7 linked regions of the Macaca mulatta genome follow. The protein of the gene in region 4 interacts with the protein of the main gene of each other region in a pairwise test. Links are inferred from orthologs where the notes say so. Each region holds a gene or a part of one and is shown on either strand. Other genes may lie near its edges. The genes, in order: SYTL4, BYSL, NDN, FXR2, RALYL, SRPK2 and BAZ2B.

What was found.
Region 1: the proteins of FXR2 (region 4) and SYTL4 interact in binary tests that used the Homo sapiens proteins (3 or more experiments, as listed by UniProt). The two-hybrid records come from large-scale screens. The link is inferred for Macaca mulatta from reciprocal best matches to the Homo sapiens genes FXR2 and SYTL4.
Region 2: the proteins of FXR2 (region 4) and BYSL interact in binary tests that used the Homo sapiens proteins (3 or more experiments, as listed by UniProt). The two-hybrid records come from large-scale screens. The link is inferred for Macaca mulatta from reciprocal best matches to the Homo sapiens genes FXR2 and BYSL.
Region 3: the proteins of FXR2 (region 4) and NDN interact in a two-hybrid assay, tested with the Homo sapiens proteins (2 studies listed by BioGRID and IntAct). The link is inferred for Macaca mulatta from reciprocal best matches to the Homo sapiens genes FXR2 and NDN.
Region 5: the proteins of FXR2 (region 4) and RALYL interact in a two-hybrid assay, tested with the Homo sapiens proteins (2 studies listed by BioGRID and IntAct). The link is inferred for Macaca mulatta from reciprocal best matches to the Homo sapiens genes FXR2 and RALYL.
Region 6: the proteins of FXR2 (region 4) and SRPK2 interact in binary tests that used the Homo sapiens proteins (3 or more experiments, as listed by UniProt). The link is inferred for Macaca mulatta from reciprocal best matches to the Homo sapiens genes FXR2 and SRPK2.
Region 7: the proteins of FXR2 (region 4) and BAZ2B interact in binary tests that used the Homo sapiens proteins (3 or more experiments, as listed by UniProt). The two-hybrid records come from large-scale screens. The link is inferred for Macaca mulatta from reciprocal best matches to the Homo sapiens genes FXR2 and BAZ2B.

What each region holds. Positions count from the first base shown.
Region 1 is NC_133426.1:107,544,590-107,548,089, forward strand, and holds part of SYTL4 (synaptotagmin-like protein 4), read right to left. Parts: intron 2,545-3,500; coding exon 2,443-2,544; intron 1,974-2,442; coding exon 1,898-1,973; intron 1,497-1,897; coding exon 1,406-1,496; intron 1,297-1,405; coding exon 1,193-1,296; coding exon of another isoform or gene 1,187-1,192; intron 1-1,186. UniProt on the Homo sapiens protein: Modulates exocytosis of dense-core granules and secretion of hormones in the pancreas and the pituitary. Interacts with vesicles containing negatively charged phospholipids in a Ca(2+)-independent manner.
Region 2 is NC_133409.1:140,247,021-140,250,520, forward strand, and holds part of BYSL (bystin), read right to left. Parts: intron 264-3,500; coding exon 101-263; intron 1-100. UniProt on the Homo sapiens protein: Required for processing of 20S pre-rRNA precursor and biogenesis of 40S ribosomal subunits. May be required for trophinin-dependent regulation of cell adhesion during implantation of human embryos.
Region 3 is NC_133412.1:6,264,488-6,268,221, forward strand, and holds NDN (necdin), read left to right. Parts: upstream 1-1,313; 5' UTR 1,314-1,427; coding exon 1,428-2,393; 3' UTR 2,394-3,234; downstream 3,235-3,734. UniProt on the Homo sapiens protein: Growth suppressor that facilitates the entry of the cell into cell cycle arrest.
Region 4 is NC_133421.1:9,102,900-9,106,899, forward strand, and holds the start of FXR2 (RNA-binding protein FXR2), read right to left. Parts: upstream 2,801-4,000; 5' UTR 2,651-2,800; coding exon 2,570-2,650; intron 2,237-2,569; exon of another isoform or gene 2,189-2,236; intron 1-2,188. UniProt on the Homo sapiens protein: mRNA-binding protein that acts as a regulator of mRNAs translation and/or stability, and which is required for adult hippocampal neurogenesis. Specifically binds to AU-rich elements (AREs) in the 3'-UTR of target mRNAs.
Region 5 is NC_133413.1:94,791,488-94,795,530, reverse strand, and holds the start of RALYL (RNA-binding Raly-like protein), read right to left. Parts: upstream 2,801-4,043; 5' UTR 2,665-2,800; coding exon 2,649-2,664; intron 2,506-2,648; exon of another isoform or gene 2,428-2,505; intron 1-2,427.
Region 6 is NC_133408.1:144,711,940-144,715,439, reverse strand, and holds part of SRPK2 (SRSF protein kinase 2), read left to right. Parts: intron 1-2,624; coding exon 2,625-2,694; intron 2,695-3,344; coding exon 3,345-3,437; intron 3,438-3,500. UniProt on the Homo sapiens protein: Serine/arginine-rich protein-specific kinase which specifically phosphorylates its substrates at serine residues located in regions rich in arginine/serine dipeptides, known as RS domains and is involved in the phosphorylation of SR splicing factors and the regulation of splicing.
Region 7 is NC_133417.1:64,255,072-64,258,571, forward strand, and holds part of BAZ2B (bromodomain adjacent to zinc finger domain protein 2B), read right to left. Parts: intron 2,829-3,500; coding exon 2,768-2,828; intron 1,992-2,767; coding exon 1,883-1,991; intron 1,615-1,882; coding exon 1,513-1,614; intron 1-1,512. UniProt on the Homo sapiens protein: Regulatory subunit of the ATP-dependent BRF-1 and BRF-5 ISWI chromatin remodeling complexes, which form ordered nucleosome arrays on chromatin and facilitate access to DNA during DNA-templated processes such as DNA replication, transcription, and repair.

The sequences.
Region 1 (3,500 bases), on a different chromosome or scaffold from region 4:
CCCTGCCGCAGCCTCCAGAGTAGCTGAGATTACAGGCACCCGCCACCACAACCGGCTAATTTTTGTATTTTTAGTATAAACGGGGTTTCTCCATGTTGGCCAGGCTGGTCTCGAACTCCTGACCTCAGGTGATCCACCTGCCTTGGCCTCCCAAAGTGCTGACATCACAGGCGTGAGCCACCGTGCCCGGCCTCATATCCTTCTTTTTACATGTCTTCCCATTTCAGGGTTCCCAGCTCTATTCCAACCATCCTTCTCATATCTCAAAAGAATAAGATAAGAATATTTAATGTTTTTCATAGAAGCTATAACTCTTTTCCATTTGACTTTCCCCAACCCTCTTTACATTTTAATCAAAAGAAGTATTTATTTGAGCCCCAGCCATATATCCAGCAATTTATTAGAAAATAAAAGAGATGGCCAGGTGTGGTGGCTCACGTCTGTAATTCCAGCACTTTGAGAGGCAGAGGCGGGTAGATCACTTGAGCCCAGGAGTTCCAGACCAGGCTGGGAACACAGTGAGACCCCCATCTCTCAAAAAAAAAGAAAAAAAAAAGTAGCCGGGTATGATGGTTCACGCCTATAGTCCCAGCTACTCAGGAGGCTGAGGTGGGAGGATAGCTTGAGCTCAGGAGTTCAAGGTGGCACTGAGCTATAATTGTGCTACTACACTCCAGTCTGGGCAACAGAGTGAGATGCTCTCTCTTAAAAAAAAAAAAAAAAAATTGGGAGGCCGAGGCAGGTGGATCACCTGAGGTCAGGAGTTTGCGACCAGCCTGGGTCACCTGGCCAACATGGTGAAACCCCATCTCTACTAAAAATACAAAAAATTACCCGGGCATGGTGGCGCACACCTGTAATCCCAGCTACTCAGGTGAGACAGGAGAATTGCTTGAACCCAGGAGGTGGAAGTTGCAGTGAGCCAAAATCATGCCATTGCACTCCAGCCTGAGAAACAAGAGCGAAACTCCGTCTCAAAAAAAAAAAAAAAAAAAAGAAAGAAAGAAAAAGAAAACAGAAAAAAAAAGAGATAGCAAAGACAGTCCTTTCCTTTAGAAACTTGGGGGTATCAAGTTTCATGTTGCCTTTTCCTAAATAATTAAATAGGTTGATTGAGAATATCAGGTACTAAAGCCAACTCCAGATAAGTAAAATTTCATGTAGTGACCAAGTAAAATATAAGGGCACCTACCATATCCACATTGAGGCCTGGGACGGATTTGCTTCTGTCTCCCAAGGAGCCACTTTCATGTCCCACATCTTCTGGGCGAAGATCTATCACAGATTTAGTGTACTCTGAGGGGAAGACCAAAAAAGCCAAATCAAAGAGACTTATTCATACCAAGAGCCCATCAAGGGTACTCAGAACTTCAGTCTCAAAAGACCAGTAAGGAAAACCAGTTACCTGAAGGCCTGAGGATTTTTCTGGTGTTCTTCTTAAATATCATCTCACCCTCATCCACAAATACCACATTTTGACCTCCAGGCTGAGTTTCCTAGGAAGGAACAAGGGCAAGAAAATGGAAAAGGACAGATGGATAGGAAGAAGGAGTGAGTAAGGAATGACAGTCTTAAGAAGAATAAGGCTCAGATTTTCGCTAAACTACGACAAACTTAAAGGAAAGATTAAATGCCTAGAAATAGTACAAAACCTATTTTCTCACACATTTCAACCAAAACTTTAGAAAATGCTCCCAAATGAATCTGAACTGAAATTTGTTTAGTTGAAATTCCTGATTTAAATTCTGCCTAAGAGAATGGAGGGAGGGAGGGAAGGAAGAAAGAGGAAGAGAAGAGTGAGGGGGAGGGAGGGAGGGAAAGATGGAGGGAGACAGGGAGGTGAAGGAGGAAGGGAAGGAAGGGAGGAAGGAAGGTGGCTCAATAACCTGAAACTTACCTTTTCTACTCGAGATTTGGGAGCAGACATCTTCTTCCATTCTGGAAAGAGGCCAGATTTATCCAGAGAGTCTCTCCTGGAGGTAGATTCAGAAGTTATAACTAAGTCACCTCCTACCCTTCCCCTTCTACCCAGGAATCAAAGCTCTATGGAAGGAGAGCCAGTGGCTTGGGTCATCGTAATAACCAAATTCAGAAGATACACTTCGCATGTGATTTACCTGGGAGGAATGCAGAAGATCAGAGAGGCAACTTTGCACAAACACAAACACTCATACCCTCATTCTTAAGGGACAGCAGCATCAGTTGCTACTGGGCTAAGAAGAATACTCCAAGGTACTGGGGGAACTGACTAGGGATGCCAATATGTTCCAAGAAGCTGTGCTCAGAGCCAAATAGGTAGACGTGCTACTTAAAAGACTTCTGGTGAGGACACAGAAAATACTTCGTTCAACTTCCTGAGGACAGAAGTCAGGAACACTGATGATGCAGAACAAAATCACAACTTGGGTTTAGAGGAGATGAGGGAAATGGGGGGAACCCCACCTGGAGGTGCTATCCGAGTCAGCTGTGAAGCTATCCAGACTCTCACTCTCAGCTTCCAATGCACTCTTTCCACTTTTCAGCTTTGGCACTTCAAATAGCACACTAGAATAAAAACCAAGAGCCAATATTGAAAGGAAGCAGGTTCTCCTGCCTCTAGTCAGGCCTCTTTCCAATCCATTCACAATCGTAGCCTGAGTGATCTTTCTAAAATAAATATGAGTATACTTTAAACATATAATAAATAAATAAATTAAGAAATAGGGTCTCACAATGTTGCCCAGGCTGGAGTACTGTGGCTATTCACAGGTACCATCATAGTGCACAACAGTCTCTAACTCCTAGGCTCAAGCAATCCTGCTGCCTCAGCCTTCTGAGTAGCTGGGAGTACAGGCATGTACCATGGTGCCCAGCTGGGTACTTTTTTGTTTTTTGGTTTTTTTTGAGACAGAGTCTCACTGTGTCTCCCAGGCTGGAGTGCAGTGGCACGATCTCGGTTCACTGCAAGCTCTGCCTCCTGGGTTCACGCCATTCTCCTGCTTCAGCTTCTAGAGTAGCTGGGACTACAGGTGCCCACCCCCAATGCCCGGCTAATTTTTTTGTATTTTTAGTAGAGACACGGTTTCACCGTGTTAGCCAGGTTGGTCTCGATCTCCTGACCTCGTGATCCGCCCGCCTTGGCCTCCCAAAGTACTGGGATTACAGGCATGAGCCACCGCACCCAGCCCTGAGTATACTTTTAAAACTCTTCAGTGGTTCCCCATTGCTGTTGGGATTTAGCTGAAACTCCTTAGCATGGCAAAAAAAAAATCCTCATGATTTGGCCCCTGCTCACCCTCTCCAGCCTCATCTTTCACCCCCTACTCCTCCTCAAGCTTTATATTTTAGAAAAACAAAGTTATTTTGTTTCTCTGAATATCCTGAAGCTCTCCATCTTCCCTCTTTTATCTGTCTAAGATATTCTTTTCACAATGGCCACTTTTTTTCACCTGGCTCAATCTACTCCTTCTTCAGGTCTCTCCTTATATGTCAATTCCTCCAGATCTCTCTGGCCACGCCCC
Region 2 (3,500 bases), on a different chromosome or scaffold from region 4:
GGGCCCTTTCCTAAAGTAGGGAATCGTAAGTCTGCCAGGGAACTTGTTTTCCTGTGGGAACTTTCTACAAGCACCCATTATCCCAAATCCCCAGACCTACCTGGCAGGAGGGTTCTTGTTCATGAACATCTCTATGGCACGCTCATCCTCAGGGTCCACGACCACCTCTGCATGGTGGCCCACCCCTGTCATTGTGGCAGCCTTCTCCAGGGTGGGCCACTCCTCATCCTCGTCATCTGATCCATCCTGAGGCATTCTTGGACCTAGAAGAGAGGAGACTAAATGGATGAGCACAGCAAAAGGTAGCTGAGGGATTTAGTCAGTTTAACTTTAGTCATTATGTAGTACAGGCCTCACATGTGGTTGTGATAGACACAGGTATGTGCAGTGAAACAAATGAGGCATGCATTAGCTCCCTGTCCCCAGGGGCTTGCAATCATGCTTGAGAAACAAAACGTATACACAGGAAACAATGAGAAAGAAATGGCCATAAGTAATAGTTAACATACCATACTCAGTTATGTAGAAGGAACTTCTTTTTTTTTTTTTTTCAGATAGAGTCTCACTCTGTCGCCCAGGCTGGAGTGCAGTGGTGCAATCTCGGCTCACTGCAAGCTCCGCCTCCTGGGTTCATGCCATTCTCCTGCCTGAGCCTCCCAAGTAGCTGGGACTACAGGCACCCGCCACCACACCCAGTTAATTTTTTGTATTTTTAGTAGAGTCGGGGTTTCGCCACATTGGCCAGGCTGGTCTTGATCTCCTGACCCCTAGTGACCCGCTCACCTCGGCCTCCCAAAGTGCTGGGATTACAGGCGTGAGCCACCGCGCCGTGCCTGTAGAAGGAACTTCTAAACACTGTACCCATGTTAACTGTTTAATCCTTACAAACCCAAGAAGTGGCAGGGCGTGGTGGCTCACGTCTGTAATCCCAGCACTTTGGGAGGCTGAGGTGGGCGGATCATGAGGTCAAGAGATTGAGACCATCCTGGTCAACATGGTGAAACCCTGTCTGTACTAAAAATACAAAAATTAGCTGGGTGTGGTGGTGCGTGCCTGTAGTCCCAGCTACTTGGGAGGTTGAGGCAGGAGAACTGCTTGAACCCAAGAGGTGGAGGTTGCAGTGAGCCAAGGTCACGCCACTGCACTCCAGCCTGGCGACAGTGAGATGCTGGCAAAAAAAAAAATACATAAAATTAAAAAAAAATAAATAAACCTTCTTACGGAACATTGGCAAAAACTTAAAAAATAAATAAATAAATAAATAAATAAAAATAAACCCAAGAAGCGGATACTATTATTATTATTATTTTTTTTTTTTGAGACGGAGTCTGCTGTCGCCCAGGCTGGAGTGCAGTGGCCGGATCTCAGCTCACTGCAAGCTCCACCTCCCGGGTTTACGCCATTCTCCTGCCTCAGCCTCCCGAGTAGCTGGGACTACAGGCGCCCGCCACCTCGCCCAGCTAGTTTTTTGTATTTTTTTTTAGTAGAGACGGGGTTTCACCGTGTTAGCCAGGATGGTCTCGATCTCCTGACCTCGTGATCCGCCCGTCTCGGCCTCCCAAAGTGCTGGGATTACAGGCTTGAGCCACCGCGCCCGGCCGCGGATACTATTATTATACCCAGTTTCAGATGAGGACACTGAAGCACCAAAAAGTTGATAATTTGCCCAAGACAGGTAGTCTGGATCTAGACTGCATTCTTCACCACTATTCTACACATATTAGGGTTTGATTATATGCCACAATGAGTGGTAGAGACGACATATGCACTTAGAGGATGAGTGGCGAGGACAGTTAGACGCTGGATGGGCAGTTTGGGAGCAGGCGGAGTGTGTTCCAGACGCAGAGAAAATAAGGCTTCGGATTTAAGTGTCTCCTAGGCAATAGCAATAAATAATGCTAGGTAGGTGGGAAAGGTGAAGCCAGACTGGAGGGCCTTTAAAGTCAGGCAGTGGAGTTCAGATTTCAATCCACCAGTCTATTTAAATAAATGAAGTTGGCTGGGCATGGTGGTTCATGCCTGTAATCCCAGCACTTTGGAAGACCGAAGTGGGTGGATCATCTGAGATCGGGAGTTCGAGACCAGCCTGACCAACAAGGAGAAGCCCTGTCTCTACTAAAAATACAAAAAATTAGCTGGGCGTGGTGGCGTGCGCCTGTAATCCCAGCTACTTGGGAGGGAGGCCGAGGCAGGAGAATCGCTTGAACCAGGGAGTTGGAGGTTGCAGTGAGCCGAGATCGCGCCACTGCACTCCAGCCTGGCCAAAGAGCAAGACTCCATCTCAAAAAAAAAAAAAAAGGGCCGGGTGTGGTGGCTCACGCCTGTAATCCCAGCACTTTGGGAGGCTGAGTCGAGTGGATCATGAGGTCAGGAGATCGAGACCATCCTGGCTAACACAGTGAAACCCAGTCTCTACTGAAAATATAAAAAATTAGCTGGGCATGGTGGCAGGCGCCTGTAGTCCCAGCTACTCGGGAGGCTAAGGCAGGAGAACGGCGTGAATCCGGGAGGCGGAGCTTGCAGTGAGCCAAGACTGCGCCACTGCACTCCAGCCTGGGCGACAGAGCAAGACTCCGTCTCAAATAAATAAATAAATAAATAAATAAAATAAATGAAGTAGTCCATTTAAATAACTTCCATTTTTGGAAGGCTACATGTCTGGGCATCTGGAAAGGGGGGCTAATAATCCAAGTGGGGAACTATAATGTTATGTATCAATAGGTCATTAACAACAAAGGCAGTGGCAGTATGTGATAAACGCTAAGGGGGAACAGACATTTTGTCTCCACGTGCCAACAATCTCCCAAATGTGTACTTTGTAGGTGGTTCTCCTTAGCGCCAGACCCTAACTCCAGGTGTCTCCTGTACAGCCGCTCTTGGATGACTCACAGTCACCTCAAATCTCACCTGTCATCAACTATATTAATTTTCTTTCCCTCCTAGGTCTATAATGCTAACCATCCACAGCTCAGTAAATGGTACCACTGTCCACCCAGTGCTAAGCCTGGGAGGCGCTCCTGCCTCATCCCTTGCCCTCACCCTCAACACCCAATCAATTAGTAAATCCTATTCAATTTTACCTCATAGACTGTCTCTCACATGCTTCACAGCCCCATCTAAGCCTAGATCAGCATCATTTCTTGCCTGGATTTATTCAACAGTCACCCACTCATCTCCATGTTTCTGACCTTGCTTCCCTCCAACTCATTTTCCACTCTGCAGACGGTAATCTTCCAGAAACACATATTTGATTTGATTAGCCCTATACTTAAAATTCTCCAGTAGCTTTCCATTCTTCCTATTGCTGTAAGGATGGTTTTTAAATCTTTTGCAAGTTTGCTCCTACCTACCTGACCATCATTCATTACCCATTAACCCAGTCATTCAGCAAACACTGAGCACCTACACTATATGTGAGGCACTGTTGGGGGTGCTGGCAATATATCCATGAACAAGAGAAATCAAAAGACTTTGTTCTATACAGCTTACATTCTAATTGG
Region 3 (3,734 bases), on a different chromosome or scaffold from region 4:
GGGAATGGCTCTGCCAAAAGTGTTATGTGCATGCAAACCCAAAGAGAGAGAGCACAGAAAACCCTTCAACATCAACCTGCTTGAGGAAAAATAAAGTGACAAGTGGGAAAAGATACATACTCACAGCGAGGACTCTAGACATGTTAAGACAATTTTTAAATGTGCTTTTGGCTTCGAGTGGCAATAATTAGACTCAACATATTTAAGAAGCTACTGATGAGAAGAAACGCTGGAAGCGCTGAAGGACCACATCAGCCCAGACCAAGGATGCTGAAGCAGCATCAAGGCCCTTGGTTTCAGAGGCTCCACCAATGACCCTTTTTTCAGGGAGACCCTGTAGGAGCGAGTTTTGTCTTTGCCCAGTGGGAATCTGTCTTCTATACTTAGAAAACAGGGTTACCCATGTTGCCCCTGCTACCCTTGGGTCATCTCAGAGACACTACCAGATATTACCTATGAGACCTAGTTGTTTTTTTTTAAATCTCAGGAAGGACTTGGGTGTGGCTTCCAACGTGGAGGACTCAGTAGCTTCAGAGAGGGTCCTGGGAGAAGGTGAATCGGAGAATAAGGGTGCTGGGCAGAGGGAAAAAGACATTATTATACAAGTTTGTGCTAAAAGATATAGCAATCCTTCTGCTGTGGACTAAGTATGGAAAAAAATAAAATGGAATCAAAGTGACCCAAAGGAAATGTAAAACTCAAATTTATGCCCACTAAAGCATTAATGATGCTCTAAGTCCGCTGCCTACTTAAAAGGTTCATAGTTCACATGGGTTGACAGGAAATTACGTTAAGGACACGCTGCATTTCTCCTTTTCTTACAACCCCTCTGATTTGGTAGGGAGGGAGTCAATCATTTTTTTATTGGAATTTCTCAGGATTCCAACTTCAGACATACACTTTACACATTTTCTTGGACAAGCCCGACTGTTCCTCTCACTCGTTCGCATAAAGCTCAAGTTTACACAGCCGCCCAGACCTTTCTCTGGGACGCTCATATTTAACTTAATTCTGGATATATCAGGTAAGCGTTTCCCAAGAAACTTGACCCCAACATCCCAAAAACTTAAGTTATCATCTTTCTCCTAAACTGGCCCCTTCTCCAGTACGCATCCATCGCACTCTTCTCCTGCCCTAGATCCCCTCAGCCCAAACGGGAAACCCCGGGATCGCTCTCTCCGCAGGTGAAGCTTAGCCAGGGACCCTCCCCGTCGGGGCTCCGCGCTGCCCCGCCCGCCCCCAGCCGCTGGCCAAGGCCGCAGTCGCGCAGGCGCAGTGCCGCGTCCCGCCGCCGCCCCGCCCTGCCCGCCGCTGCGGAAGGCGCCGCGCACAGCAACGCGCACTTCCTCTCCAGGAATCCGCGGAGGGAGCGCAGGCTTGAAGAGCTCCTGGACGCAGAGGCCCTGCCCTTGCCAGACGGCGCAGATATGTCAGAACAAAGTAAGGATCTAAGCGACCCTAACTTTGCAGCCGAGGCCCCCAGCTCCGAGGTGCACAGCAGCCCTGGGGTTCCGGAGGGGGTTCCTCCGTCCGAGACCCTGGCAGAGCCGCAGAGCCCTCCTTTAGGCCCGACGGCCGCCCCGCAGGCCGCGCAGCCTCCCCAGGCCCCGAGCGACGAGGACGACCCGAAGGCCCTGCAGCAGGCCGCGGAGGAGGGCCGCGCCCACCAGGCCCCGAGCGCGGCCCAGCCCGGCCCGGCCCCGCCAGCCCCGGCGCAGCTGGTGCAGAAGGCGCACGAGCTCATGTGGTACGTGCTGGTCAAGGACCAGAAGAAGATGATCATCTGGTTTCCAGACATGGTGAAAGATGTCATCGGCAGCTACAAGAAGTGGTGCAGGAGCATCCTCCGGCGCACCAGCCTCATCCTCGCCCGGGTGTTCGGGCTGCACCTGAGGCTAACCAGCCTGCACACCATGGAGTTTGCGCTGGTCAAAGCGCTGGAGCCCGAGGAGCTGGACAGGGTGGCGCTGAGCAACCGCATGCCCATGACAGGTCTCCTCCTCATGATCCTGAGCCTCATCTACGTGAAGGGCCGCGGCGCCAGAGAGAGCGCGGTCTGGAACGTGCTCCGCATCCTGGGGCTGCGGCCCTGGAAGAAGCACTCCACCTTCGGGGACGTGCGGAAGCTCATCACTGAGGAGTTCGTCCAGCAGAATTACCTGAAGTACCAGCGCGTCCCGTACGTGGAGCCGCCCGAGTACGAGTTCTTCTGGGGCTCCCGGGCCAGCCGCGAAATCACCAAGCTGCAAATCATGGAGTTCCTGGCCAGGGTCTTTAAGAAAGACCCCCAGGCCTGGCCCTCCCGATACAGAGAGGCTCTGGAGGAGGCCAGAGCTCTGCGGGAGGCTAATCCCGCTGCCCACTGCCCTCGCAGCAGTGTCTCCGAGGACTAGCCAAGTCTGGAGGCAGATGAATGCTTTCTGATCCTCACCAGGGCTGTGGAAGGGTGGGGGTGGGTCATTAGAGTGTTCAGGATTTACAGTGCAGTATTCACGTGTAACTTTTACGTTTTCAGTACAGTGCTTTTATACCTTTAATGCAATGTTGTGTTCATTTGGGTACTATTGTGTAGTATTTAGGATGTATGCATGTTTGTTTATATGTAAGCTTGGTTGGTGCTTTCGCTTTTGTGGTACCTTTCTTGGATTTTTGTATCAGAGACGTGCTAAACTGATGAAGTACATTGAGAACGTTTCCATCTTATTAATTTACATGGGACTGAGATGTGTGTTGGGGTAGACTGCTCCTGCAGAGTTTGGAAAAACTCACCAGCAAAGCCGGCCTAACCAAGAAATGTCAAGGCCCTCATGACCTTGCTGGGGACTGAAAACATCCTCGTGGAGTAAACTAATTTGAACTGGACTGGTCTCAATGTGAGAGCACTTGGCACACTTTACTAAACACATATACAACCCCACCGTGAGTCAACTTTAAAGTAAACATTAAAGATTCTTGTGATACAATCATTTCTGGAAGTGTACGTTATCATTTTAACAAAGCAGTATGGTTGGGAATGAGACAATTCTCTGTTTTACAGTATACACAGATATAACTATTTCCCCTAATGGGGTGGGAAAAATCGCTACTCATGATTACTCCTAAATTTGTGAAGTTTGTAGTTTTGTCTTTAACTCATGTTTATTTCAAAAACATGCACAAATATAGAAAAGCATAAAAAACAAAACAGTAAGATTGTCCATAATCACATCCTATGGGAATAAAAACCAAAAATAATTTCCTTCCCTTAAGTTTCTACATTTTATCAAAATTAATAGATGCTTTGTGGGCACTTAAAGAGTGAGACATTGTACATGAGCCCTGACGTGTATTTTTCTCCTTTTATCTAATCCTCACAACAGGCCTGTCAGGCAGGCAAGAACTGCCTCTGCACCATGGAGGAAACACAGGAATAATGTAGGTAATGGACTTTCCATAGCTCATACAGGTTAATAAGAGAAGGCGCTAGGACTAGAACTCACAATGAATCCAGAGTCCACATTTGTCCCCACCTGCCTTCAACTCCCCTACACCCTGTGGTTTTTAGGTTATTTATTTTTAACTTTATATTGAAATTTCATGTGGGAGCCCACACTCACATGGGTTCATGGGCCACACATACAAAAAGGCTAGGAATTTTATTTTTCTAATTCTTAGGATATTTTGGAGAAAGCAATATCATTCTGATTCTGCAAATTAAGAAACTTACTTTTGGAGAGATTAATTAACCTAATAAA
Region 4 (4,000 bases):
GGTACTGAGAGTGGAAGATTAGCCTGAATTTAGGGATTTGTGGTTTTTAACTCAGGAACGGGGCAGAAAATGCTAACCTGCCCAGATCCACATTACCACATTACCTGGCTTTCAGCTCAACCCCAGACTCTACTCTCTGAATCAGAGTATCCTGGTCCCGATGTACTCAAGTCTATCATTGCCCACAGCGCACAGGAGAAAGGGAAAAGATTCAGAGAGACTTTCTGCTGGACACTTATATGTAGAACAGAAAACGTGTCCCTTCCCAGCCATCTCATACAGTTCATTTGAACTGGATACCAATCTTTCCCAGCTGTGCAGGGCTCCTGTGCTTCCTAGAACAAAGCAAACATCATATCTTGATCTTGGACTCAACTTAAGAATGACTTTTCTTGGAACTCAGAATTTTGGGGTGGTAAGGACCCAGATGAAGGAAAAGATACCGAGGGAAACAGGGAGGGCCACTTTAGGAAGCGTATTTCAACAAAGGTAGTACAAGTTTGGGGAAAAGGATATGAGAGACAAATGTGCTCTATCAAAAGCAGAAAGGAATTAGAGACTTTTGCCAAAAAAAACAGAAATGCTATGGAGGCAGGCTAGAAGAAAAAGTCCCAAGAGTTAGGCAAGTATGCAGAAAATGACAAAAGAGATCAGCAGGGAGCTTCCTTCAGCTAGACAGGGAATTAGGTGATCCCTGGGGATTACACAGGAATACAGAAGTATTAGGAGAAAAAGCCAAAAACTTGAATTGAAACAGTAAGTTAGACATGGGTACCCAAAGTCACCGCACAGAAAGAAATCTGATGAGGGAAGTAAGGCAAAAATGGGTAAGTATGAAGAGTAAGTAAAAAATGACTACAATGGCGCGGTGGCTCACGCCTGTAATCCCAGCACTTTGGGAGGCTGAGGCGGGCAGATCACAAGGTCAGGAGATCAAGACCATCCTGGCTAACACGGTGAAACCTCGTCTCTACTAAAAATACAAAAAACTAGCCGGGCGTGGTGGTGTGTGCCTGTAGTCCCAGCTACTCAGGAGGCTGAGACAGGAGAATGGTGTAAACCTGGGAGGCGGAGCTTGCAGTGAGCCCAGATCGTGCCACTGCACTCCAGCCTGGGTGACAGAGCCAGACTCCGTCTCAAAAAAAAAAAAAGACTACAATGAACTTAGCAACTGAAGTAGAGGCAGAAACCACCCAAGGGAAATTACAAGACCCTCTACAGTTACAGAAAATATGACTTAGGGAAGGAGTCAAAGAAAGACACTTCCAAGGGCATGAGAAACTAGAGAGGGCTACTGTGGGGGGGAAAGGCCTGAGGGGAACAGAAGGAAAGGGGGAAGGGGGATCTACTCTTAACAAGTAATGCCATGGGAAGGTATCTCTTCTACAGCTCCCCAAGGTGAAATCAAAGAATGAGACAGAAATCAGGAGAGTCTCTGGGACAATTCCAGGCATCAAATCCAAAAGAGGTTCAGAATAGCAACAGTCAAAGAAAAACTCTTGGGAGGCAAGAAAGGGTTCTCTCTGGCTTAATCCAAATGGGAAAAAAATGTCCTAGAAAATGGATTCAGAGCAGATAAGGAAGGTGGTATTATAAGGAGTTCTAAGGAACCAAATCCTGGGCAAAGGGGGAGGTCAAATAAGGAAAGGTCTTTGAAAGATGATCCCTTCTTCCAAAAAAGGTTGTCAGATTCCCGAACTGGGATAGTTGGCCAAGAGTCTTCAAGAAGTGGAAATCTTAAGAAAAACAGAAGGGAACCCCATGAGCTTCCTTTTAGAGATCCTTTTAGAGATCATGACTATGAAGCTCACATGCCTCAAGACGAAGAAACTCTAAGAATGACCTGAAGGTATCTGAGGTCTAAGTGAGACCTCAAATCCATTCTGAGTAGAATGGTAACCAGTGGGCCTTGAGATCAAGGTGTGGTGGGGTGAAAGACTTGCGAAAGATGCCACCTTATGGCTGGCTGAGAAGCAACTTGACTGATCCAACCCAGGGTTCCTGAGGTCAAAGATGCCAAACGTCGTAAATGGATCTGACCATTTCTCCTTGGCTTGGGAACCGGAATATAAGCTGAAAGTGGGGTGAGTGTTCCAGAGTCAGTAGGCAGAGGCCTCTCTGAGGAAGATGAAAGGATCCGATATGGGACAGAGGGGGCCTTCCCAAGGGGACCGTGCAGAAGAAAGACAATTCTCCATGTGCCTGGACCGTGGGGAAGATGTGATTAAGGTCTAAGGTATGTCTTCCATCAGACAACGGAAACAGTCAATTAGAAGCTGGGTAAAGGGGTCTCTCCTGGGGAGCGGGGAGCGCCAAGCCAGGGACAATAATGGCCTTAAGTTCATTCTCCCTGAGATGGGGGTAGAAGCAGGTGCATTAAAGGGGTCAAAAATAAAAGGAACAGGTTCACTCCAAGAGGTCTCTCAGGGAAGGCTGCGGGTGGGAGCAAGGGTCTAAGATTCTAAGGGCCAGGACTCAGCTCCAGAAGCTCGATCCCGCCCCACGCGTTCCTGCTCCGGCCGGGGGAGGGGGCTAAGGACCGGCGTCCCCAGTCGGCGCGCCGTCTCACCTTGTAGAAGGCCCCGTTGGAGCCGCGCACCTCGACGGGCAGTCCCGGCTCCACATCCCCCCCAGAGGCCAGGCCGCCCATGGCGCCGCCACCGCCTCCGACTCCCCCGGCGGCGGCTGCAGCAGCAGTCTGAGTGCGGGCCGGGCCAGGCCCCCGGCGTCTCCCCGGAGGAGGAGCCGGAGGGGGAGCCGCGGGGGGCGGGAGCCGGGCCGGCCCCACGGCGGCCCTGCCACAGCCAACGAGCAGGGGGCCGGGGCCGGGCCGCTCCCCGTCCGCCGCCGCCGCCTTGGTCTCCGCCACCGTGAGGGAAACGGCCGCCGCCGCCGCTGCCTTCGTCACCTCAGCTTCCGCCTGCCGCCGCCCCCGCTGCTGCCTCAGTCCCGGGACCCGCTGCTGCCGCTGCCGCTCCACAGCCTCCACCTCCCCCTGCCACCGCCTCCTACTGCGCAGGCGCACCGGGCACCCGCCCGCTGCGCGCGGGGCCCCGAGGGCCACGGCGCAGGCGTCAAGGTTAGAGCCCCAGCTAGCGCTAGCCAGCGCATCGGGGCTTCCACATTCCCTTTCACTCTCTCACGCCCCCTCCTGGTCGCTTTCTCGCGCTTGCGCAGAACAAAATTAGCCTTCTTTCTCCACCGCCCCACCGCCCAGCAGCCCCGTCTCTTCCTTTCCGCGCCCCACAACCCTGAGAACCAACCAATCAGAGGGAGGGAGGGGCCGGGCTCGCTCAGTCCGATTGGGCGGCGGCCGCACTGTCACACAGCGCTCAGGCCACACCCACGCCGCCGCCGCCTGCCCCACCGGGCTCGGACAAGTTAGGGATGGGCATGCGCCTGAACGACTGCTTGGTCACTTTCCCCACCTTTGTCTTTCTTGGTGCGCACGCTCCAAAAAAAAAAAGAAGAGAAGTCGCCGCAAGGAAAAAGGTGCTCGGTGCGCACGCGCTGAGCTTTACTGTCTGCGCGCATGCATAGCCTATCTTTTAAGAATTTGTAACTGTGCTGTAGTAGATTTAAGTCATAGCTCTTGCCTTGAAGAGATTGTGATACAATGAAAGTTTTGGCCAGGAGCGGTGGCTCACGCCTGTAATGCCAGCACTCTGGGAGGCCAAGGCGGGTGGATCACCTGAGGTCCTCGGATCACCTGAGGTCAGGAGTTCGAGACCAGCGTGGCCAATATGGTGAACCACCCCACCCCCGCATCTAATAAAACACAAAAATTAGTCGGGCGTGGTAGCACGCGCCTGTAATCCCAGATACTCGGGAGGCTGAGGCAGGAGAATCACTTGAACCTGGGAGGTAGAAGTTACAGAGAGCCGAGATCGCGCCATTGCACTCCAGCCTGGGCGACAGAGCAAGACTCCGTCTCAAAAAAAAAAAAAAAAAAAAAAAAAAGAAAGAAAGAAAGAAACGAAAGAAAGTTTTAAGAATAGTA
Region 5 (4,043 bases), on a different chromosome or scaffold from region 4:
TATTTTTCTAATTAATAATTTTTATATTCTGAAGGCATCATTTGTTTGTATTATTATAGTAGCTCTTTCAGCCACTAGACTTTCATACAAATTAGAGAAAATAAACCAACTATCATTTTTAAGAAAGGTAACGCATCTATTATGGCTAAGGATGTGTCTTTATAATTGTATGTTTGGAACTTTTCCCCCTTGTATATACAACAACACAGTGCGACTATTTGATGCATGTTAAGAAAAAAATTAGGGTGCTACGTGATTGTTTATGTCCATGAAAAATACATATAAAAATAATTAATTGTTAATCTTCAATGATGAAAAGTTATTCATTTAAATATTATTCGACAGACCACACACTCAAGACAGAATTCCAACTAGAACTTTCTTTCTTTATATCGATTGAGAAAGACACTGTAAAATTAATTTAGTAATCCAAGATTTTAAACAATACCCACATTTTATTATCCCATAGAAAGTCCTAGAAAATTTAATAGTTTTCATTTTGTGATTATTTCTTTGTCACAGTTTAGACAGTAAAATGTTTGAGGTCAGATAGTGATCCAATGCCAATTTAGTTTGTGGGTCTTCTTTCCCTCGGTCCCTGCCTTTACCCTGGAAACCCTCTCTCCTTACAGCATACAAACTTTTTTTCCCTCCTTCTCTCTCAGTAAGCAGTTGAAAAGATCTGCACAATTAAATTGATGTAAATCCCTGTGGGTTTCTTGGCGAATGAAAAAATGTATTTTTTCCACGAGAAGCCAGTAGGCGGTGCTAAATGTAGGATACTACCTTCAACAATTTTAAATCAAAAACTAAACAGGTGGCCAGTTTAAGAGTTGTAGAATTCCCAGTATGATTCACACAGGAAGAAATTTGAAAATTTTGAATGTAATAGGCACAAATGTAATACAAGTATACAATATAATCAAAAATGAATCTTAAATAAATGAAAACATAGATAACCAAAGGTTCTTAGAACGGTCTTAAGTTACAGAAATTAAAGCCCAACTACCTGTCTGTCCTCACATTAAAATCGTCTTTGGTCCCATTAATGGTTTCAATCTCATTGGGAAAGATCATACAATACAGCTAGTGTTTTGTCCAATCTTAAGACACAAACTACCTCTACCTTAGGGCAGCAACTGATACTCTTAATGAAAATGCAGGTTCGATCACTCAAGCTCTTTCTTGCTTGCTTGCTCTGTCTCTCTCTCTCTTAAAAGAACTAAACGACATACAACACATAAAACATACAAAAATATATTATACACACAAATTGTCTTGCTTTTTAATAAATAAGCACTTCTATGTACATACATTGTTATAATTTAAATGATTTTTAAAATCACAGAATGTTGCAAATGGCTTTTTAAATGTTTTATGTTAGCTATTTGAACCATATGTTAGCTGTTTGAACCATATATTTTAGTAATTAGCTCACTATACAAAATAAGAAAATCCTAATTTCAGGCTTAGTGCCATCATATTGGCTTCAAATCTTAGAACTATACACATCAAGATATCAAATATGGTGTCCACAGACAGTGACATAAACTATCTTCTTTATATAAACGCAAGAGGATTTCCTTCACAGGGAAAAGCTACTGTGAGAACAAAATACCTCACATACAATGAAATGTCCAAAGACTTTTGAGATACTTGCATGAGTTGTGAATAAAAAATATATATAGCTTTCCAGATATTACACTAACTTTTAATCTTCTACAGATAAATGGCCCTTTGCACTCCTTACTTTTTGACCACAAAGAGTAAAAAATAAGGCATAAAACTTTTCATTCCACAAACTGAGGTTACAGACAGTGAAATATTTGCTTGAAAAAGCCAGTGTATGTTATAAACCCCTTTGTCATGGGCCCCTCTGTATGCTGGAGTCAGTTTTTATTTCTGTAGTTACCCAGAAGAAAACTTCATCCGAGAGGTAAAAAGTTGTTTCATTTGCCTTATGTTTATTTTACAGAATCCAAACTACATACACATGATAATTTAAAGCTAAGCTTTTCATTTAAGGGGGGGAAAGGTAAGAAAATCAAAGTATTTAAATAATGGTGACTCTCCAGATTTTAAGATGTATGCCTTTACGAAATTTATTTGGACAGAAAAATTTCCAGCAGATTCTGTCACAGTGTTAAATACAGAAAAGGCTTTTTATTGCGAACTGGTCCATCTCTGAAAAGTAATGCTAAATTATATTGAAAACATGTAACAGGATAATCATAAAATATAATAGAATACATTCAACACTGAGTATTTCAATGCTACCAACACACGAAATCATCACCTCTATCACTAACCCCTCACTCCTGCCCTGTACACAGTTCTCAGGGGAAAACCTTTAGAGCCAGTATTAGGTGGTTAAAAAGAGGGAAAACTCTCCCTCTAATAAAATTTAAATAAGGGGCATTTTTATACCTTAGAGCTGTAGGGTCATTACTGCAAACTAACAGCGTCGTCCTCAACATTAAACCCAAGTGACCATCTTATAAGAAACTATTTCCCCATTCCCTGGAAGACGACACCAGCAGGCACTTAAAACCAACGCAACACAACAGGCATAAAGAAAAGATCCAAAGACAGCACCACTAAGAAAGCAAAGCCCTTTGGAAAAGCAAAATAGGCTGGGAAAGACCTACTGCGTCGTTTACTCATTGCGAAGAGGAGGAGCAGGAGTTGAGCGTGCGGGGGCCGGTGCCATCCTCAAGGCTCTGGAAATGTCTCGAGCTCCGGCCCGCGTGGCCTGGAGCCAGTCCCTCCGGAAGATGCGGTCTCTGCCGCTTCTTCCCCCATCTCCCGGGTGCTCTGGGGGTCCCCTCTAGCCGGCCCGACGGCCTGCGCCACGTACACGGCCCTCGCCCCTCCTGCTGTGCAAGTGGCCCTCGGAGAACTTACAGGGCCCGCTGGCCACCTAGTGCCCGGCCGGCGCCGCCCGCAGCGCAGACACCACCCGCCCAGCCGGGAGATGACCTGGGCGCAGCTCACGGTGGGGGGTGGGGGGAGGGGACTGTATTTTGTGCACATCTAGAAAACGATCCTGAAGCCGGGAACTGACTTTGGTTTTCCCTGGCTCCCGGCGCGGCTCTCCCCACCTCCGGCGCGGACACTGCCCGGAGATGCGCGCGCGCAAACACACACACACACACACACACTCACACTCACACATTTCTTTGCTAGGACCAGTGTTGCCACTGCACACCCGGGAAACGCCTCCAAGGGGACCAAGTACCTGCTCTCTGCGAGCTGCTCAGCTGTTCACTTCATCCTCCGTTGACAAGGAAACCAAACCGCACTTCTTTTTTTTTTTTTTTTTTTCCAGAAAAACCTTCCACTGCCATCATTTGAAAATTGATTTACGGGGAGGGAAGGGGGAGAAATAAGGGACAATATAGATATAGATATCAGGATATCTATCATAAAATTATCTCGGTTTTTTTAAAAAAGTCAAATGTGCAAAAGTCATAGTTAATTTAAAGGAGGAAAAAAGTATTTTGCTTAAAAATGATCCCAGTCACCAGCTGTAAGAAAAGTTTCATGTTATCAATGGGTATCAAAAACAGGAGGGAAAAAAACGAATTTGTTCTCACCGGCTTCCAAAAAGGGCACAAAAATATAAAATTAATGTCTTTGCTCAGTGGTTTGCACCAGTATTGCAAGACCACAAACTTGTAAACACTGCCGTAAAATCCCACCTATACAAAAATGTTATCAGAAAAAGAGTATGCAAAAAAAAGAGTTAGAAACATGCTTTTTATTTTTACAAAGGAAAAAAATAGGCACCATACTTCACATCGCTTTTTCCATAAAACCAGTTGCACATTTTGCTGGACTTGGGAGACGCTCCCAGCGGGCACGGTCGCCGCGGACTCCGAGACACAGCGCCTTGTCTACAGAACGATCGCATGCTAGAAAAACTTGGATTCAGGAAAAGGCTCAAAATCATGCTCCTCCAGCTTTCCCAAATATAAACAATAATCAAAGAAGTGGAAAAAAAGAAAAAAACAAAAACAAAAACAAAAACAAAAAACAAAAAA
Region 6 (3,500 bases), on a different chromosome or scaffold from region 4:
AGGCTAAGGCAGGTGGATCACTTGAGGCAAGGAGTTTGAGACCAGCCTGGCCAACATGGCAAAACCCCATCTCTACTGAAAATACACAGATTAGCTGGGCGTGGTGGCACGTGCCTGTAGTCCCAGCTACTCAGGTGGCTGAGGCAGGAGAATCGCTTGAACCCGGGAGGCGAAGGTTGTAGTGAGCCAAGATTGCACTGCTGCACTCCAGCCTGGGCAATAGAAGGTTATACTGGGAGTACCTGAGTTGAAGGCAGAGGTTTTTCATTGTAGTGTGCATTTGCTCTGCTGTACATGTTGTATTGTTAAGAGAATCTAGTCACTCTCCAAAGAACCAAAAACGGGTAGCATTACAGCCTGCATCTTCCTTCTTCCTTTAAAAAAAAAAAAATTATTTCGCCAGACGCGGTGGCTCACGCCTGTAATCCCAGCATGTTGGGAGGCTGAGGCAGGCAGATCACAAGGTCAGGAGATCGAGACCATCCTGGCTAACATGGTGAAACCCCATCTCTACTAAAAATACAAAAAATTAGCCAGACGTGGTGGGGGGCACCTGTAGTTCCAGCTACTCGGGAGGCTGAGGCAGGAGAACAGTGTGAACCTGGGAGGCGGAGCTTGCAGTGAGCTGAGATTGATTATGCAATTGCACTCCAGCCTGGGCGACAGAGCAAGACTCTGTCTCAAAAAAAAAAAAAAAGAAAAATTATTTCATTGATTGGCTTCTATACATGTTTTCTTGGAAATATAAGGGTGCTAATCAAAATGATCATTTTTTCAAAGAATACATAGCTGACATATTTTGGCGGTAAGAAATATGTACAAAGCTGGGCACAGTGTAGTGCGCCTGTAGTCCTAGCTTCTCTAGAGGCTGAGAAAGGATCATTGGAGCCCAACAGGTTGAGTCCAGCCTGGATAACATAGTGAGGTCCCATCTCAAAAAATATGAAAGGAAAAGAAATGGATGTGACCTGATCGAAGTCATTTTGAAAATTAATTAAAAGAGTTAGCATAGGGCTCAAGGCAGGGGTTGAAAAGCAGCTTGGAACTTGATCCAAGCTTTTCAAGTCCTCGTTGTCCCATTAGAGTTTTCAGATTTTTCTCTTAGCTTGTAAGATACTGAGTTGATTGTCTCCCAGGCTGGAAGGACTCTCCTGGCCATTAAGTGTGTAATCTAGTTGTTCCACTTGGATTTGGGGCCAATAATGAGGTTTTCCTGCCCTCACCTGGGATTGGCCCAGCTGTCTTTTTTGTTTATTGAGTGGAAAGGAGAGGCCCTACGTAAGGGCCTTCCTGCGTTTTCTGCTGGTGCCTTCGGGCATCCACAGTGCTGGGACCACCAGCTCACCATGCTGAGATGTGACGTGTCTGTGTCCTGCTCAGACCTATGCCAGGTTCAGGGCAGGATCCTGAGTTCATAAACTAATGCTTACCGCCTGGGCAGCTGGCAGTCATCTTGTCACCATGCTTCCTTCCTTCAACTGATTCACATGCAGTCTTTTTTTAAAAAAAAGGTGAAAAGATGTGGTCCTGGGCTGACTGTCCCACTCTTGGTTTGTTAAAGACAGTGCTAGGAGAGGTGCCCCCTCACCCAGGCAGGTGAGTCTTCCCTTAAGGGTTCCTTCCCAACACTGTGTGGTCATTGAAAGAAAAAGAAGGTAGGTTGATGCAGTGCAGTTGCCCCAGCATTGGCTCCTGGGGGCGGGAGTGGGGAGGGCAGTCACAGATCCACAGGCATCAGTGATTGGGCTTCTGAACACCTTTTGGGATAGCAAGATCCATTCAGAATAGAAGCAGCTATGAGAAAAACCAGAAATGGGATTTAGCTTATTCTTTTTTTCGCTTTTAAAACATACTCTTTGATCAGCAGAGCAGTAGCAGTTGCCATATTTATATATTGTTACCAGCTTAAACTCATGTTCTTGAGGGTTTTTTTGTGAGCAAGGGAAATGGGAACAAATGGCCTTCCCTACATACTGGCATGCTGAGGGACAGCCAGTGGCCACCCAGGAAGCCAGTGCTCCGTGACATCTACAAAAGGGTCTGCAAGGCCATCTGCGTCCTCTGGCCCTGGGGACAAAGAGGGTCTGTTTTGTTTCCAGGTTTTCCTTTGGTTGAATCAGAAGTGAATGAGATGATGATGAAAATAGATGATGAGATGCTGAAAATAGTCCTCGGTTACTAAAACATGAAGGTCTTTGCCTAAAGGACGCAGCAGTGTCTGCTATACAGAGGCCAAGGCTATTATAGTGGTTGAGGCAGGTGCTGGAGTCAGATGGGCTTGGTTGAGTCCTGGGTTGAACTCTCGTTCTACCGTTTATAGAGTGCATACTGTGCTTTGCCAGGCCTGCACACAGGTGCGGCTGAATCACTGACGTTTGGTTTTGCTTCCTGCAAAATGAACAGAATACATAGCTCTTATATCTTTCCTTAGAAGAAATGTAAAAATACTTCTGAAACTTCTTTGAATGTGGAAGAAAGAAAAAAATTAGTATTGAGCACTTTTGGGAGGCGATTTTGTTTGATTCAGATCTTCATAAAGTGGCGGTCTCTTCTGTAAGGAGAAAAAGCTGTTGACTTGGGGGCCAGTCTCTGAAGTGCTTAGCATGTCGTCTGTTGTATCCTAGGCATTTGAGCTGGCAACGGGAGATTATTTGTTTGAACCACATTCTGGGGAAGACTATTCCAGAGACGAAGGTGAGTATTAGTGCCTGCTGAATACCTCATTCTAGGTCTCCTGCCAGCCCTGAACTTCTGTAGAGTACTGTATTTTTGTACTGAAATAGAGCCATGTTTTTGGTTTTCAAACACCAAATTCAGATGCTTTTCCTTTGAGTTTGACGCCCCCTCAGTCTCAGTGAATGGGCAGAGCCTGCCTGGTACAGGCAGCACTCCAGTGAGCCCTCAGGGGCCTACACCAGCGGCTCTTCCTGGCCTTGCACAGGGCAGGAACCCAGCTGTCTGAGAGAGGACAGATGATACAGACCTGAAACCTCTCTGTGGTCCTTTCGACCATTGATGTGCTGCCCATTTCTCTGTCCTGTTTGGGAGCTGAGTTGAAAACCCAGGAATTCTGGCTTGAATTCCATCTGTAAACCTGACCATCTCCATGCTTATTTGCTTGCGATGCTGGGGTAGCCTGGGGTGAGCTGGCCTCAGTCACTGTTACTGCTCCTGGTGGTGCCTGAGGCCTGTCATTCCTACAAGCCTCTGCATGGATGTGCTGCAGACACTGTTGATTTGAATCTATTTCTGATTTTTTACTAATTTCAATTTTTCCCTCTTCTTTTATCCCATCCTTCCCTTTGCCCCTCCCATTCCCATATCCTTTTTTCTCTCCTCCATAGACCACATAGCCCACATCATAGAGCTGCTAGGCAGTATTCCAAGGCACTTTGCTCTATCTGGAAAATATTCTCGGGAATTCTTCAATCGCAGAGGTAGTACCTCTTCTTTTTGAAAAGCGCCACGATGCAGACAGAAACTGAAGAGCAGCTGCTGAT
Region 7 (3,500 bases), on a different chromosome or scaffold from region 4:
TAAAACTGATGCAGTGTATATAGAATGTGTAACACTGTGGTTCATTAAAATTCTAAGAATCTGGTGACAGATTTAGTCTAAGTCAAAATTTTTTTTGTTTAAAAAAATAGAAAACCCTAGAATATATTTCCATATATTTCTATAAATCTCAGATAAACACATTTTGACATTTTAGAACTACCAATAAAGAGACAGGTAGATCTGGACATAACTTCTTTCTTTAAAAGTCATGGACTACAATAGAAAATAGGTTACATGATGTATGCAAAAGATTACTTTTTCAGAAACCTTGAGTTCTAGTTATGTCTCAGCCTTGTGTGTGACCTTAAAAAACTCCTTTAAGCTTCCAAACTCAAAATAAACCTCTTACAGAATGAGGGAGACCTTTTCCATTTCTAAATCATAAAATTTAAGGGTAAGATAGGATAGAAAAGTTCCCTATTCACAAAGAAAATATTAATTGGCAAAAAAATTTTTTCTATGCATTATGATGGGACAGAAGAGAGACAGGTTCAATGAAGAAGGAAAATATCAACTTTAGGTGGCTGAGCATTTTAGCCTTTTTGAAACATTGTTATGCATATGATCTCATTTTAATCTTGCCATAATCCTATGAGACAGAAGTGTAATATATTTATATATATTAAAATTGTTTCTATTTGGCAGATAACAAAGTTGTGGGCAAAGTGGGCACTATTTTGTTACTGTTCAGAATTACAAGAGTATTTCACAGATTAACAAGAATCTAGGTCTCATCACTCCTTAACTGGGACCCCTTTCAATGCAGCTAAAGGGAATAATAAGCACATGCAGCTGAATACAACTAAGGAACAAAGAGAAAGCATTAAAGAAAACATATAGGAAATGAGATCTCCTTGGTGGGTTCTTTTTGCTGACTAGTGAGGATGTATACTTAACACTATAAGCTCAAAGGGAGCTGTGGTGATATGTTCAGAAATGTGCACCAATTAATGTAAAAACTGAATTTCTGCAAAAACCAGAAATTTCATTCACCTAGTTTTAAGAAATGACAAAAAAACTTATCAAACTTGTGAAAATGCAACATATAGTGTGGGATAATCAAATGGACAAGATTCTTCCAAAACACTAGGACATATATATCCTCTTTTGGACTGACTGATTATAATAGGGTCTTCATATTCAAATTAGTTTTTAAAACTAGCTGTACTTTTCAGGAAACTAATGTTTTCCTATATTTCATATGAATATGCAGATGCTTTTATACCTATATAAATTGTAAAGTTATTGGTTGAATTAATAAAAACAGAAAAAATTTACTTATTTATGAAAAAGATACCTATTATGTCAAAGCTCCTTGTTACTGAAACATAGTTAATTGAGGCCTTAATGAGTGCTTACCACAAAGTTATATGTATAGCCATATGAACTAATTAAAGAAAGGCAATGCTCCAGAGTGTAGTGAAATTTACTTCATTTAGGTTATGGTACTACTTTTTGGTTCAAAGACTATACTTTTTAAAAAGTGGATACCTGCGGTCCATCTCTGGCTTCATAGAAGTCACCCACTCTTATTTTTGCACTGAAGCTGAAATTGTCCCTTGAGATATCCATTATTCCATTTCTGCTGAGATACTGAAAAAATCACATATTTTTCCACTTCAGGTTTTAATAATTACAACCCAGCTTTGATGTATAGCTAGCTTCAGGACACTAATGTTTTGCATATTCTATCAAGGGGCTATAAATTTATAGGAGATAAATTTAGGTTAAGTACAATAGTCCCATACAAGAGAATATTTAGTATCAAGGAACTTTATCTGAGAAAGGAGTACACTTTTTTTTTGTACATGATCATGCTTAATAGGCACCAAATGTACATTATTTGGTGAAAAGTATGTACCTTTATTACTTCAGGGTACTGCCTAAGTTTCTTTCCACATGGAGCATAATATGCTACTTCTCCTTGAAGGCGCCCTCCAAAGTTTCTTATTCTTGTCTCTCTCTGCCAGCTACACATAACAGAAATGAAGGTTATAACATACTTAATTTTAAGACAGCTTTTAAAAATTAAAAATAAGTTAAAGTATACATGTTCTCTAGAAAACATGAAAAATGAAAACAAAAACTCCTCAAACAACCCAAATATATTAACTGTCAAAATTATTTAGATTTCTAGCTAATTCAACTAAAAAATTAATTATTCAATTTATATATTAAACTCCATCAAAATGCTTAGAAATCGTAACTGATTACTTTGGGTACTCTGACATTTCAGTAACGTGTCAACGTATAGTGATTTTTACATCTGAAAAGCTTTAACAGAGGAGTAAAGTAAACCTGGCTCTCTGCTGGTTGGGGTTCACGTACATTCAGTCTAAAAGCTGTCATTTCTAATTAAACCATTTTAGCCAAACTCTGGTTGAGTCCCTCAATTTTGACCAAAGTAGCTTTTACTGTCCTTTAATTCTATCTTCACAAAAACTTCTCACAATCTCACTGTACTCCTGCCCTTTGCCATCTGATTTGCTCTTGGTTCTTTATCAGTCATGTTCCTACTTGGCTGTATCATCCCACCCCAGCTCTGCCATACCTCCAGGAAACAGGATTAATTTCAGTTTTCTGATATACCAAATTCCTTGCCCTTTGCTCTGGCTCTTCCGCTCTAATAAATACTATGCAGCTATGTACTTCTTTTATTAATTGTAGAGAATAAGAAATCAAGTATACATCAAACGTGCATAAATATATGGGGGAAAAAGAAAAAGGGAAACCTTATTTTGCATACCCATATTCCAATGGAATACGCAGTTCACGTTCATCTGTTACTCTTCTTCTTTTGGAAGTGCCTTTAAAAAAATTCAATTGGTTAATATAAAAAATTCATTAATAGAGATAATAATCTTGATCGTTTAGAAAGTTTTCTTTTAAAAAGTATATGTTAATGACTTGGATTATTTAGTGTATTTCTATAATTTATACATTATTTTTAGATGGTTTTCAATAAAACACTGTATAAGGCAGGGGGCTTTTTTGTTCTTTTAGGTCTGAATGACAGAATAACCAGTTTTTCTCTCTAAAGAAAATACAATTCAAGGTAAAAATATATACCTTTCCTCTCATTTTGTTATTAAAGAAATGGCTAGAGAAGCAGGACAGAAAGAGGTTTCAGAAAACTTTTTTAAATTGTTGACTTTGAAAATATGAGTTTTCGGATGCTGAAAAATTTCAACAGCTGGCTCATACATTTAAAGATGATTTAATTTCTATGTCCATATATATCCATAGTCAAAAACACTACCAGGTCTTTTAATTAACCTAAACCACCAAGGATCAGGATTATGATTTTATGTAAAAATTTTCAAAGACCGAGATCAAGTTTCACAAACATAAATAAACTCATCTAAAATTAGTAGGCTATCATACTGGTATGTGGTAAATGAAAGCAAAGCTAGAAATTGACAAGAGGAGAATGAAATAAGTAAAATAACAAAATATTTTACTGTATACATCTATATTTT